Linked DNA regions of Neodiprion lecontei. Each later gene encodes a partner of the first gene's protein in a complex. Links are inferred from orthologs where the notes say so. Each region holds a gene or a part of one and is shown in the gene's direction. Other genes may lie near its edges.

Region 1 (4,952 bases):
TTCATTGGAAGGAAAATTGATTATTCTATTAAACGAACAAAACTAAAGACTGTGGTAAATGTGATTTCTTACTTGAAAATTAAAAATCACTAATGGTTGAATGTTGGGTAAATAAGATATTACAAATAATAAGGATTGCAACAATACTGTAAAGTTATTTGAAACCAACAAGATACATTGATCTTTCTTCCAGAATAATTTATTTATTTATTTATAAATAATCAACAGGTAAGACTGTCCTATACATATGGTAAATAGTTAAGCTATTATCAATAGGTGCAGAAATATAATTTATATCATATGACGAGTACACAAGCTTTGGCAATCACTTACTCACTAATACTATACAACATACATTAAAATTTTGCAGTATAATTCCACAGACTAGTTTTAGAGCGGTACATAATGTTACAGTTCTTAACCCCTTCACCTACAATATTCGTGTGAGAGACGTGCTACGTCGATCGGGCCAAACATGAGAATCACGAGTGAGAGCCGTGGTATTTACACGTATGACCGACCTTGCTGTTGATTATGGGCCCGCGCGTTCGGAACTTAAATCGTATGTTAAGGGGTTAATGTGGGCCGGCAGTGCATTCCAAGTTTTCGAAAAAAGAAAGCATTCTGAATAAAAATAATGTTCTACTATTATCTTAACAACACGCTAAGGAACATTTCTCAAATAGATTAAATAACATTAATGAAAACAATCGTAACAGGTATTAGTAAATTTTTGCAGAACATTGGAGGTAGAACTAATTGGATACATTGGTGGAAGCACAAATTTTTGCAAAACATTGTAGGCAGAACTGATTGTATACATTGGTGAAAGCAGAAAGCAAGCATGAACACATGTATCGTACAAGGCACACGCGACACTGATAAAATAACGAATATACTAAAAGGATTCGATCAATTTTTGGTAAAAGAAAATTAATTTGCGATTGTTAACTACATACCTCACAGCGAAGCTGGCTTAGATGATCAGACGTATTGCTTCGGAATCGAACGATCGAACAGAACGAGACTTACAACCTAATAAAAGAATCTTTAGGTATCGCTGCATCGGACCATCCTTAGAACTGCGTGCATATGTATCTAGTTATTATAACGCTGTGCATGACGCTTTTGAGTATATGACGCAAGGTAAATTTTCGGTTAAGAACCGATTGTTGCCATGTAGGCTGAAAACAATGACAGAACCGAGAACCGAATCGGATTCCAATTTTTACAGCAAAACTACACACTCTGGCGTATGCGCACTGGGCATTTAATGCATTCTGAAAAAGCCCCGTTCTTCTTTCAGCGGGAAATTAGATGTATTGACGATAATTTCTAGATGCTTATTTTTAACCACTGGCAGAAATTTTACCGCTAATTAAACTGGGCACAAGGCTAATTCTACTTGTATTCATTTTATGGATTTTAAACAGCGGGAAAAAACGCCTGTTTCTAGCAGCGTAAAAGAGCGTGAAAAAATAGATTCTGGGGATCAAAAAATTTATTTATTCCTTACAAAGGAAATTAGATTTGGCAAGGCTCAGGAATAACAGCATAAACAAGTAATAAAGCAAAGTACAAACGTCATCTTGGATCTCACTTGTTGTATGACTGCCTTTCGCGGTTAAGGTAGAAACCGACTTGACCACATTTTGTAGTCCAGTTTTGGAATCAAGGTGATCTTCTTCTATCCGTTTTTTTCAAGATGAAGCTTCCTAACCTTTCAACTTTCATCTAACCTAATCTAACAGCAAATGAAACGTCAAAAAAGCAAAGTTACCTCTTAACGTGGATTTACCAAATTAGTTTAAAGTGTAAACAATGATGTCCGAAGTATTCTCGTAATGTATGGAAAAAGTAGGAAAAACGTAGCGGATACATTATACGCACATTGTGGATAGTAAAAAATGAAAAGATAAAGTAAATTGACAACTTTCATGAAGAATCGGTAACAAAAGTAGATGAACAATTGATAAGAAAATATTTAAAGTAGCCAAACTTCACTTTTATTACAAAACAGTTCAAAAGTGCACATCTACAGATTGATATCGTGAATTATAACAATGAGTGAGCAAGGTGAATCCACAGTTGTTGTGGTGAAGGCAAAGCCAGTAAGAAGGGTTTATAAGGCCCCGGTGAGGGTAAATAAAATACCCCCTGAGCAGTTAAACGACCCGTTGCTAAATGCCGCCATTGCAGTTTTGCCGACAAATTATAACTTTGAAATTCACAAAACAATATGGAGAATAAAAGAACTCAAGTCACAAAGAGTAGCTCTTCAAATGCCTGAAGGTCTCCTTATTTTTGCGACCACCATTTCTGACATTATAGAAGAATTCACTTGCGCTGAAACTGTCATTATGGGAGACGTTACTTATGGTACGATTACAATCAAAATTGTTTTAGATTTGTGTTTTTTCGGTTTTAGTTTGCATTAGAATCTCACTTCAAGTTTGATTTCTATTCCGAAACTTCAAATTTTATGGTATATCGTCTCTAGGCCATTGAATTTCCAAATATGTTAAAATTAAATATGATGAATAATACATTGACAAAATTTATGCTTGATTGAAGCTATAATCTCAAATATTTAGATTTAGTAAATTTAAACTCTTTTACCAAATAGGACAACAATGACGTTTGACGGTGAATGTTTCTTCCAGGTGCTTGCTGCATTGACGATTATACGGCAAAGGCTCTCGGGGTCGATCTGCTTGTCCATTATGGTCATTCCTGCCTAATACCAGTTGACAAAACAGTGGGAATCAAAGTCCTGTATATATTTGTTGATATAAAAATCGATGCAATGCATTGCATAAAGTCTTTGCAGGCAAACTTGTTGGTAACAACGAAAATAGCATTAGTCAGCACTATTCAATTTGCCTCAACGCTCCAGGCTGTCGCTATCGAGATGAGAAAAGCTGGATATGAAGTTACCGTACCACAAAGCAGACCTCTTAGCCCTGGCGAAGTAAACGTCTTAAAATAATTGACTAACCATAATATATTAATGAATGTGTTCATTAATTTCTTTCATTTCTTAATCAGGTGCTCGGGTGTACGGCGCCTCAGATTCGCTGCGCAGATGCGGTCATATACTTGGGAGACGGTCGTTTTCATTTGGAGGCAGCAATGATTGCGAACCCCAAATTGCGGGCCTATCGTTACGATCCTTACGACAAGAGTTTAACTGAGGAATTCTATGACCATGAAAGAATGCGAAGTAATAGACGAACCGCGATTGAAACTTCTAAAAGTGCGGAGAAATTTGGACTTATACTAGGCACCTTGGGTCGACAGGGAAATCCCGATGTATTAAAGACTATTGAGAAACGGATCAAAGTATTGAAGAAAGAAGCCGTTATTATTCTTCTTTCAGAAATATTTCCTGATAAACTAAAGTTATTTGACGATATTGATGCATTTATACAGGTACGATACTTAGCTTGCTATGGAAATTATACATTGTCTGTCTTTTTTCCTCAGATATATATAACTTGAGATTACCTTTCTTTTGTGTAACGTTCGAGGCTTTTCAAGTTTTGCGAGTCTAACATCGGTTTTCTTATATTACACACTTTGTTTCATAGGTCGCATGTCCAAGGCTGAGCATAGATTGGGGTACAGCATTTGAAAAGCCTTTACTGACGCCCTACGAGGGTTCAGTTTCTCTGAAGCTAGCAGAGTTGGACAATGACAGACCATATCCTATGGACTTTTATGCTTCTGCAAGTTTAGGCCCGTGGACACCAAACCATAAACCTGCAGATTTGGAAAAACAGACCGATGCATGCTGTGGAAAGTGCAAGGAAGTCAAATAGCCAATATTCAATATATGAAAAATAAATGTCTTTTCTATCCTATTTGATATTTGTATTGAAACGTTTATACTTAGTTTTAATGATGTATCTAGTGAATGCAAGAATCAGGAATATTTTGTAATTACTGGGAATATCGACCGTGAAATCTAGGTAAACCGTATACCCTTCAGATTATCGTTTGAATTTTTTCCGTTCACTAGTCTAAAAGTTGTATGCTTAACTTTGCCTAATCTACGTCGTTATCTAGAAGATAAGAGGAAATAGGATTTTCACTATTTGAAATGAAAAATAGTTTGAAATTGAAGATTCACTTGACATTCCGCGTGTAATTTGTTGTCGGTACGCGTACATTATTTACCAGTACCGTCTCCTGAACAAATACAGTCTTGAATTTGCGATGTAACATCAGTAATTGCGGGATGTTGTTATTGAGAGTAATAAACATGATCTTAAAACAAACTAAATCAAGTCTGTAATTTTTGAACTCTGGTGTAAGCTGCGAAGCTCTGTGATCCATTGCTTCATTATCCAAAATGCGGAAGTGATTCAAAGCCAAAGCTAAGCTTAGCTGGACTTTGTTCATCACGTGGGCGTTTTTGTCCCCCATCTCAGTAATCGATTTCTATTTGAATAACAATATCAGGCAACAGGTGTGGTGGAAAAAATTCATTTTGACTGGGAATCAGCCCCGGCCTCACCTAAATAGCGGCGCGTTTGCGCCGCCCGATATGCGCAGCCGCGCGAATCTTCGACGCGTCGCGTCGCATCCCCGCAACATGAGGCCGGGATGTTGTCGCGATAATGGGTACAGATAAAGGAGCCGCGTGGGCGACTGACGTCATACGCCCACCTGTAGGCACGTAAACGCTCAACAAACCAACCCCTGTATTTTCCCACATATCGGGTGTGCGTTGCAGGAATGTAATTCGCGCAGAATGACGATAACGAATCGATTTGTGTTGACACAATTATTACCACAAGGCTCGTTGACTCGAGAAACATGGTTTGTAGGGATTTGACCTTATTTTTCGAAATATTTTTGAAAAGGATGTTATAGTTAGTATTTACTGACCGAGTAAATGTCACTTATTTATTTTGACTATTATCAAAGTTTCCGCGACACTAGTTTAA
Region 2 (5,319 bases), on another chromosome or scaffold:
ATCATAATTATTCATCTTCCAACGATTCATGTGTGTAACGATACAAATAATTCCACGTCGCGCATCCAAACACATGATATATGTACAATATAGGTAATTGTCATGTCGCAACGTTGCTCTAGCACCTTTGCGTGTGTATCTTGAATTGAGTGGATTGTGCGTAATACAGAAGGGATGGTTTTTCGACGACGGCGAAGAAGGCTTAAAAATATTTAACCGCAGTAATTCAAATAAGTCTGATAATAGTAATTTGTGTCCTTTCAAGTCTGTATCAACAAAACAAAAAGTAAAACATTCAAGTATGGAACTAATCGAAATGCATCGTTATACGTACATTTCCCCTTCAACGCTGACCATTATTTCCAAATCTGATCATCAATAATACCCTTGATTATTTTTTTACCATAACTTTGGCAAGATAATTTGTTTTCCAGAACTTTATAGTATATTATGTAAAGAACTTGAAACCATTCCATTATTCTCTCCAATTATAAATCAGCTCGAAATCTCTGGTTATATACCATATAATATGAAAATAGTAACGATAATGATCCTGATGATGATAATAATAATAAAAATCGTCACAACAGTGTAACGCAGTAGAAACCCTGAATTTCGGTAGATTGAATCAAACAAAGTTTATAACACTACCTATGGAAAAATCTATATACGATTCCATCATTGAGAGAAGATGTTTGTACTGTTACTGTTGTTATTTTTATTATCATTATTATTGTTTTAGTTGGTGTTGTTATTACTATGTCACTGATATTAAAATGATTGACGTTCTTTTATATTATTATGAATGTGGTAAAAACAGGGTTTAATAATATTAAATATACTATACGTCGGTATAATCTCATTCATTGAATAATCATCTATCACTATAATATAGGTAATGATAATTGATATCCTATCTCGTATCCTATATTCATTTGATAATTGTTATATAATTATAGTTCTATGACATGACATTGTAATATGTTACATAAAAATATCACTGACTGAGCAATATGTACATAGCTTATGTAGTTTGAATTGTATAATACAGAAACTGAAATTTCATGCTCGAACCGCACAGTTAGTAGTTCATTGTAGTATAATGTTTTTGTTATTATTTTTACCACCGCGAGATTCGTCTACTAGTACATATAATTTGAATAGTTTATAACCAATTTTTTTCGACTCACACAGCTTCTTGGCAGTATTGAAAAGAGCAAAGTTCGTTACTGTAATGTGCTAATCGACTGGAAACAGAAGCTAATTACTTCATCACAATGAGTATAATTGTTTGTATTCTGGAATTTGATGATTCTTTGAAATAAGATGAAATTGTTGTGCGATTCAAGGACAGAAGATTTATCTAACGTTCGATTTTCGATTTCGATCGAGCCTGCCAAAAATTATTTTTCAAAACATTCGCAAATGTCTTCAAATTTACTCAAAATGTGAATTTCCAACAGTTTCCCAGTTTTTCAGATAAATCTTTGGACAAATCCTGATAATTCCTAGGAATTTTGTAGAAGTATATCAATTTTTGTAGGAAAAAAAAATAACTTCACCAGATTTACGAGAAAACGCTGATATTTTCTGAAAACTTACGAAAGTTTTCTTTATTACAGGTATGTCCAGATTTTTTCAGTTAGAATTCATTCTTCCTGAGAACTGTCCGAAATCACGGTATATTTTTGAGGAACGTCTGAACTTGTTTACGATTAATTTCTAAGAATCTTTGCACCAATATCGATTTTCGGTTTTTTATATTTACCTTGCGGTTCCTGCAACCTGCGTTTCTGGGTTACAATGGTATCGACGTCGATATACCGCGCATTTTGAATTTGAAATTCGAAATTCAAACTGTCTTGGTCCCGTCAACGGTCGTTATTGGGATGTTGGCTAGACATCTCACTTTGTCACACATCTCTAGTCCAAGTTGAGATCGTAAGTTGTTTCGATTCTTCTTCACTCCGCACAACGTTATACGAAGAACGAATTCTACCACGCTGGAAGCTATGAACCGGTCAAAAACTTTGCGATGAGAACTACTGCGAGCGCGGTTGCTCCCCGCCATGTTGGATTTCCGTTTACAAGATGGCCGCCCCCCGGAGCCGACGAACTCGCCGAGTCCTGATTCGATGACGTCGCTAGTTCCTCGTCGGTTCCTCCTGAGAATATTACCAACATTGTTCGAGTTTGTTCGATTGGCGGAAAATTGACGCGAACCACTGCATTCTCGCCGGAGTTTTACGGCGAAGAGAGGCGACACGTGTGGCGGTTGTGGCACGTGGTAAGAGTTTTTTTTTTTTAGTTCCGTTTATGTTTGCGAATGAGTTTGAATTTGTGTTGCCGTTTTTCACGTCTTATCCTTCCGTTTGTGACTTCTGGGGTCCTCTAGATCTTTCCCTTTGACGTTAGGCAACACACACGGGGCAGGCGAGTGTTGTTTGGAACTTATTTGGCTGATTAATCACATTGCGGTAACTAGTTGCCGCGTCGTGATTTGGTTTTTCATTTTCTTTCGAATCCGTAAAACCCGAATCGAAAGTTTGGCTCCTCTGGAAATACCAGGTGAAACACCTCGTTAATTCATTGACCACTCGTCCTTGTTAGTAACTCGCGGAAAATTAGGGGAATACATTGCATCTCTTTGTTAACAAGCATCAGAACGGTTCAACATAACCTTAAAACCCTAACCTTGAGTCGTTTCGCTGTTACATTCTTAACGTTACATTCACGGTGGCGACTTTTACCGTCAATTGAACTCACATACCATTGCCTGGAAACAAACTCCTTCATGTTCGTCTCCGTCGGTAAAAAGTCATTGGAGCGCTTTTCGATCGGTATTGTACCTAATTTTGTATGTAACTGATTTCGTCAATATTTCAGTTCAAATGCAAATCGGGTTCGATTCTAAGCTGTAAATTTCTTGTAGTCGTTCTGAACACGTGAAATTAGAATTCAACGGTTGTTTTTCCTATTTAACTAAATTCTCACAATCTTATCTATAGGAATTTTGACGTATGGAGATTTCAAGTTTCCTAGTCTTGAATAGTAACAGAAAAGATGTCGATAAGCTAGTGAACCTATTGTAAGATATTTGATTCTCGGACTCATGCAGCGGCTTTGAATTTTTACAAACTTAAACTTGTTCAAACTAAAAAAAAATCGAAATTAAGTTCTCTGATTCTCCTTTTTCAAGTTTCTACTAAAGCAATATTTTCTTTCGTTCAAGCTTACTTCATGTTTTTCAATTAAAAAAATTTGTACAATTTTTAAATTTTCGTCCGGATTCGATTTCTGATTGCTGAAGTGTTATGTGAAAAAACTGGTATTACGGTGAATTCGTTTTAAAATAGGCTCCTATAAAGGTTGAATAATTTTCTTTATATGGGAGTTCAGTTTTCGAAATTGGTCAATATTCACACTATTATAAGGCCAAGCTAATTATTTGCACCAAGGCATGTATTCTGGCAGAGAAGCTGTACATGATACGTATTTTTTTTATCATTATTGTTATCATTATCACCATTAATCTGTTTAATTTTTTTGACTTTTGTCATCACTTTCGAAGTCAACAATTACGAGGAATTGGGTTTGCCGCAACATGTTTAGTTTACCCTAAACGTTCATTCAGTTTGTGAATTAAAATCTTTTTAAATTGTTACACTATTATATGATGTTGCAAAATGTAGGTACCGATAGATTTGAAGTCAGAGGTGTTTGAGACTGTTTTTTTTTGTTTTTTTTTTGCACATAATTCTCTCAACGTCACTATCCAGTATTTCTAACCTAATCTTGCGCTAATATTTTAAGCCACTAAACAGTGACGTTAGAAAAATGGTGCGCTTCAAAAATTGTTTCAACTCTTGCGACTGAAGCTATTATTGAACATGTAAAATATGGTTTTCGTTGTTTGAATTGATCTTAAGAAATGATAGTTGAAAAAGAAGAGATCGATCGTTGTTTTCCTTTGGCAAACCCAATTTTTCGGATGCAACTGCAAATCGTAAATCGTTGGCCAATGGATTAGCGAGTAGACGGCAAAAAAAAAAAAAAAAACCGCCCCCGTTTGAAGCAAACTCCATGGATTGCAATTTGTAGTAATATAGAGATAGTCATGTAGACAGATAGATAATAGATAGATGAAGGTGAAAATTATAATCGATGTAACGAATATAATGTCAAACGTATATAAAAGATAGAATACTGAAGTTGCATTACGTGCCAAAAGTGATAAAGAGAATATAAGATAATGATACAGACTACATCGTGCAGGGAGTAACTTAGATTTAAAATATATAATGATAACAAGATGATATCAAAGTAGTAAAGGCTAAATAATAATTGAACGTGCGTTAATTGTTGCTAACAAAGAGATTCCGGTGGATTTTTAGAGAGCGCTAATCAATACGGGGATCAGGAATTACGAGAGCGTTTTTACGGGATTTACTGGTTAGCAGGATTACAGACACAAAATACTCATTCGATTAGATCAGAGTTCCAAACAACGCAGCAACCGCCAATTGCAATTTGCCAAGTCTCTCTTACCATGCACCACATTTTCCGCTGATTTTAAAAAAATTATTATTAGTATCTTCATCGGCAGGTATATAACATTATATAATAAACGGCTGCAGTGTCAATTCCATACCAAATTACATATTATTGTGAAATGCATTTTCGTGCGATGCTTCGCAGTATAATAGCAATAATAATACGTTCAAAACCGTTATCATATTGAAGAGTGATAGAGATAGATAGAAAATTGAAGGTCTATGTGAAATACAGAAAGAGATATAATCATGCAGGTAAATTACTGGTGGGAAGCGGAATCTACTTTTCCTACACCATTTTTTTCATTCCTTTAGCAACGAAATATTGAAACAGATAAATAAAAAAACTAAGTAATAAAAATTTGAAAATCAATAACAAAAGACAATAGAGAAAGAACTAGAATTTTGTACGATAATAAAGCTTGATATCGCAAGCATATACTGCACAAATTTGAAATTTGAAATAAAAAAAAATACGACTTATTTTTTTTAAGGTACTTAAAAATTATGTAAAACATTTCGATTGTATTAAAAAAATTGACTCTGGATCAACTCTGGATTTGGCGACGGCGACGGTGACGTCTTGGTGACACATTATTATAACATTACTATATGTATAATAGTAATAATTGCCTCATTGTTTTGTAAAGTATATAAAAAACAGATCACATTTAACAGAGTTACGTTTAATAATTATTTTTTTAAATATCTCTCTCTGCTGTTGTTTTTAAAAAAATTTGTTTAATGATCGCGTGGCGTCCACAGC

Evidence for each region.
Region 2: 2-(3-amino-3-carboxypropyl)histidine synthase subunit 1 (region 1) and DPH3 homolog share a complex: the UniProt entries of both Caenorhabditis elegans proteins name them as parts of the 2-(3-amino-3-carboxypropyl)histidine synthase complex. The link is inferred for Neodiprion lecontei from reciprocal best matches to the Caenorhabditis elegans genes dph-1 and dph-3.

What each region holds. Positions count from the first base shown.
Region 1 is NC_060264.1:26,690,395-26,695,346, forward strand, and holds 2-(3-amino-3-carboxypropyl)histidine synthase subunit 1, read left to right. Parts: upstream 1-1,692; 5' UTR 1,693-2,063; coding exon 2,064-2,379; intron 2,380-2,663; coding exon 2,664-2,971; intron 2,972-3,048; coding exon 3,049-3,432; intron 3,433-3,590; coding exon 3,591-3,821; 3' UTR 3,822-4,280; downstream 4,281-4,952. UniProt on the Caenorhabditis elegans protein: Catalyzes the first step of diphthamide biosynthesis, a post-translational modification of histidine which occurs in elongation factor 2.
Region 2 is NC_060261.1:12,575,837-12,581,155, forward strand, and holds the start of DPH3 homolog, read left to right. Parts: upstream 1-2,165; 5' UTR 2,166-2,287; exon of another isoform or gene 2,288-2,508; coding exon of another isoform or gene 2,509-2,555; intron 2,556-5,319. Other genes in the region: matrix metalloproteinase-14, read right to left, coding at 2,011-2,165. UniProt on the Caenorhabditis elegans protein: Required for the first step of diphthamide biosynthesis, a post-translational modification of histidine which occurs in elongation factor 2.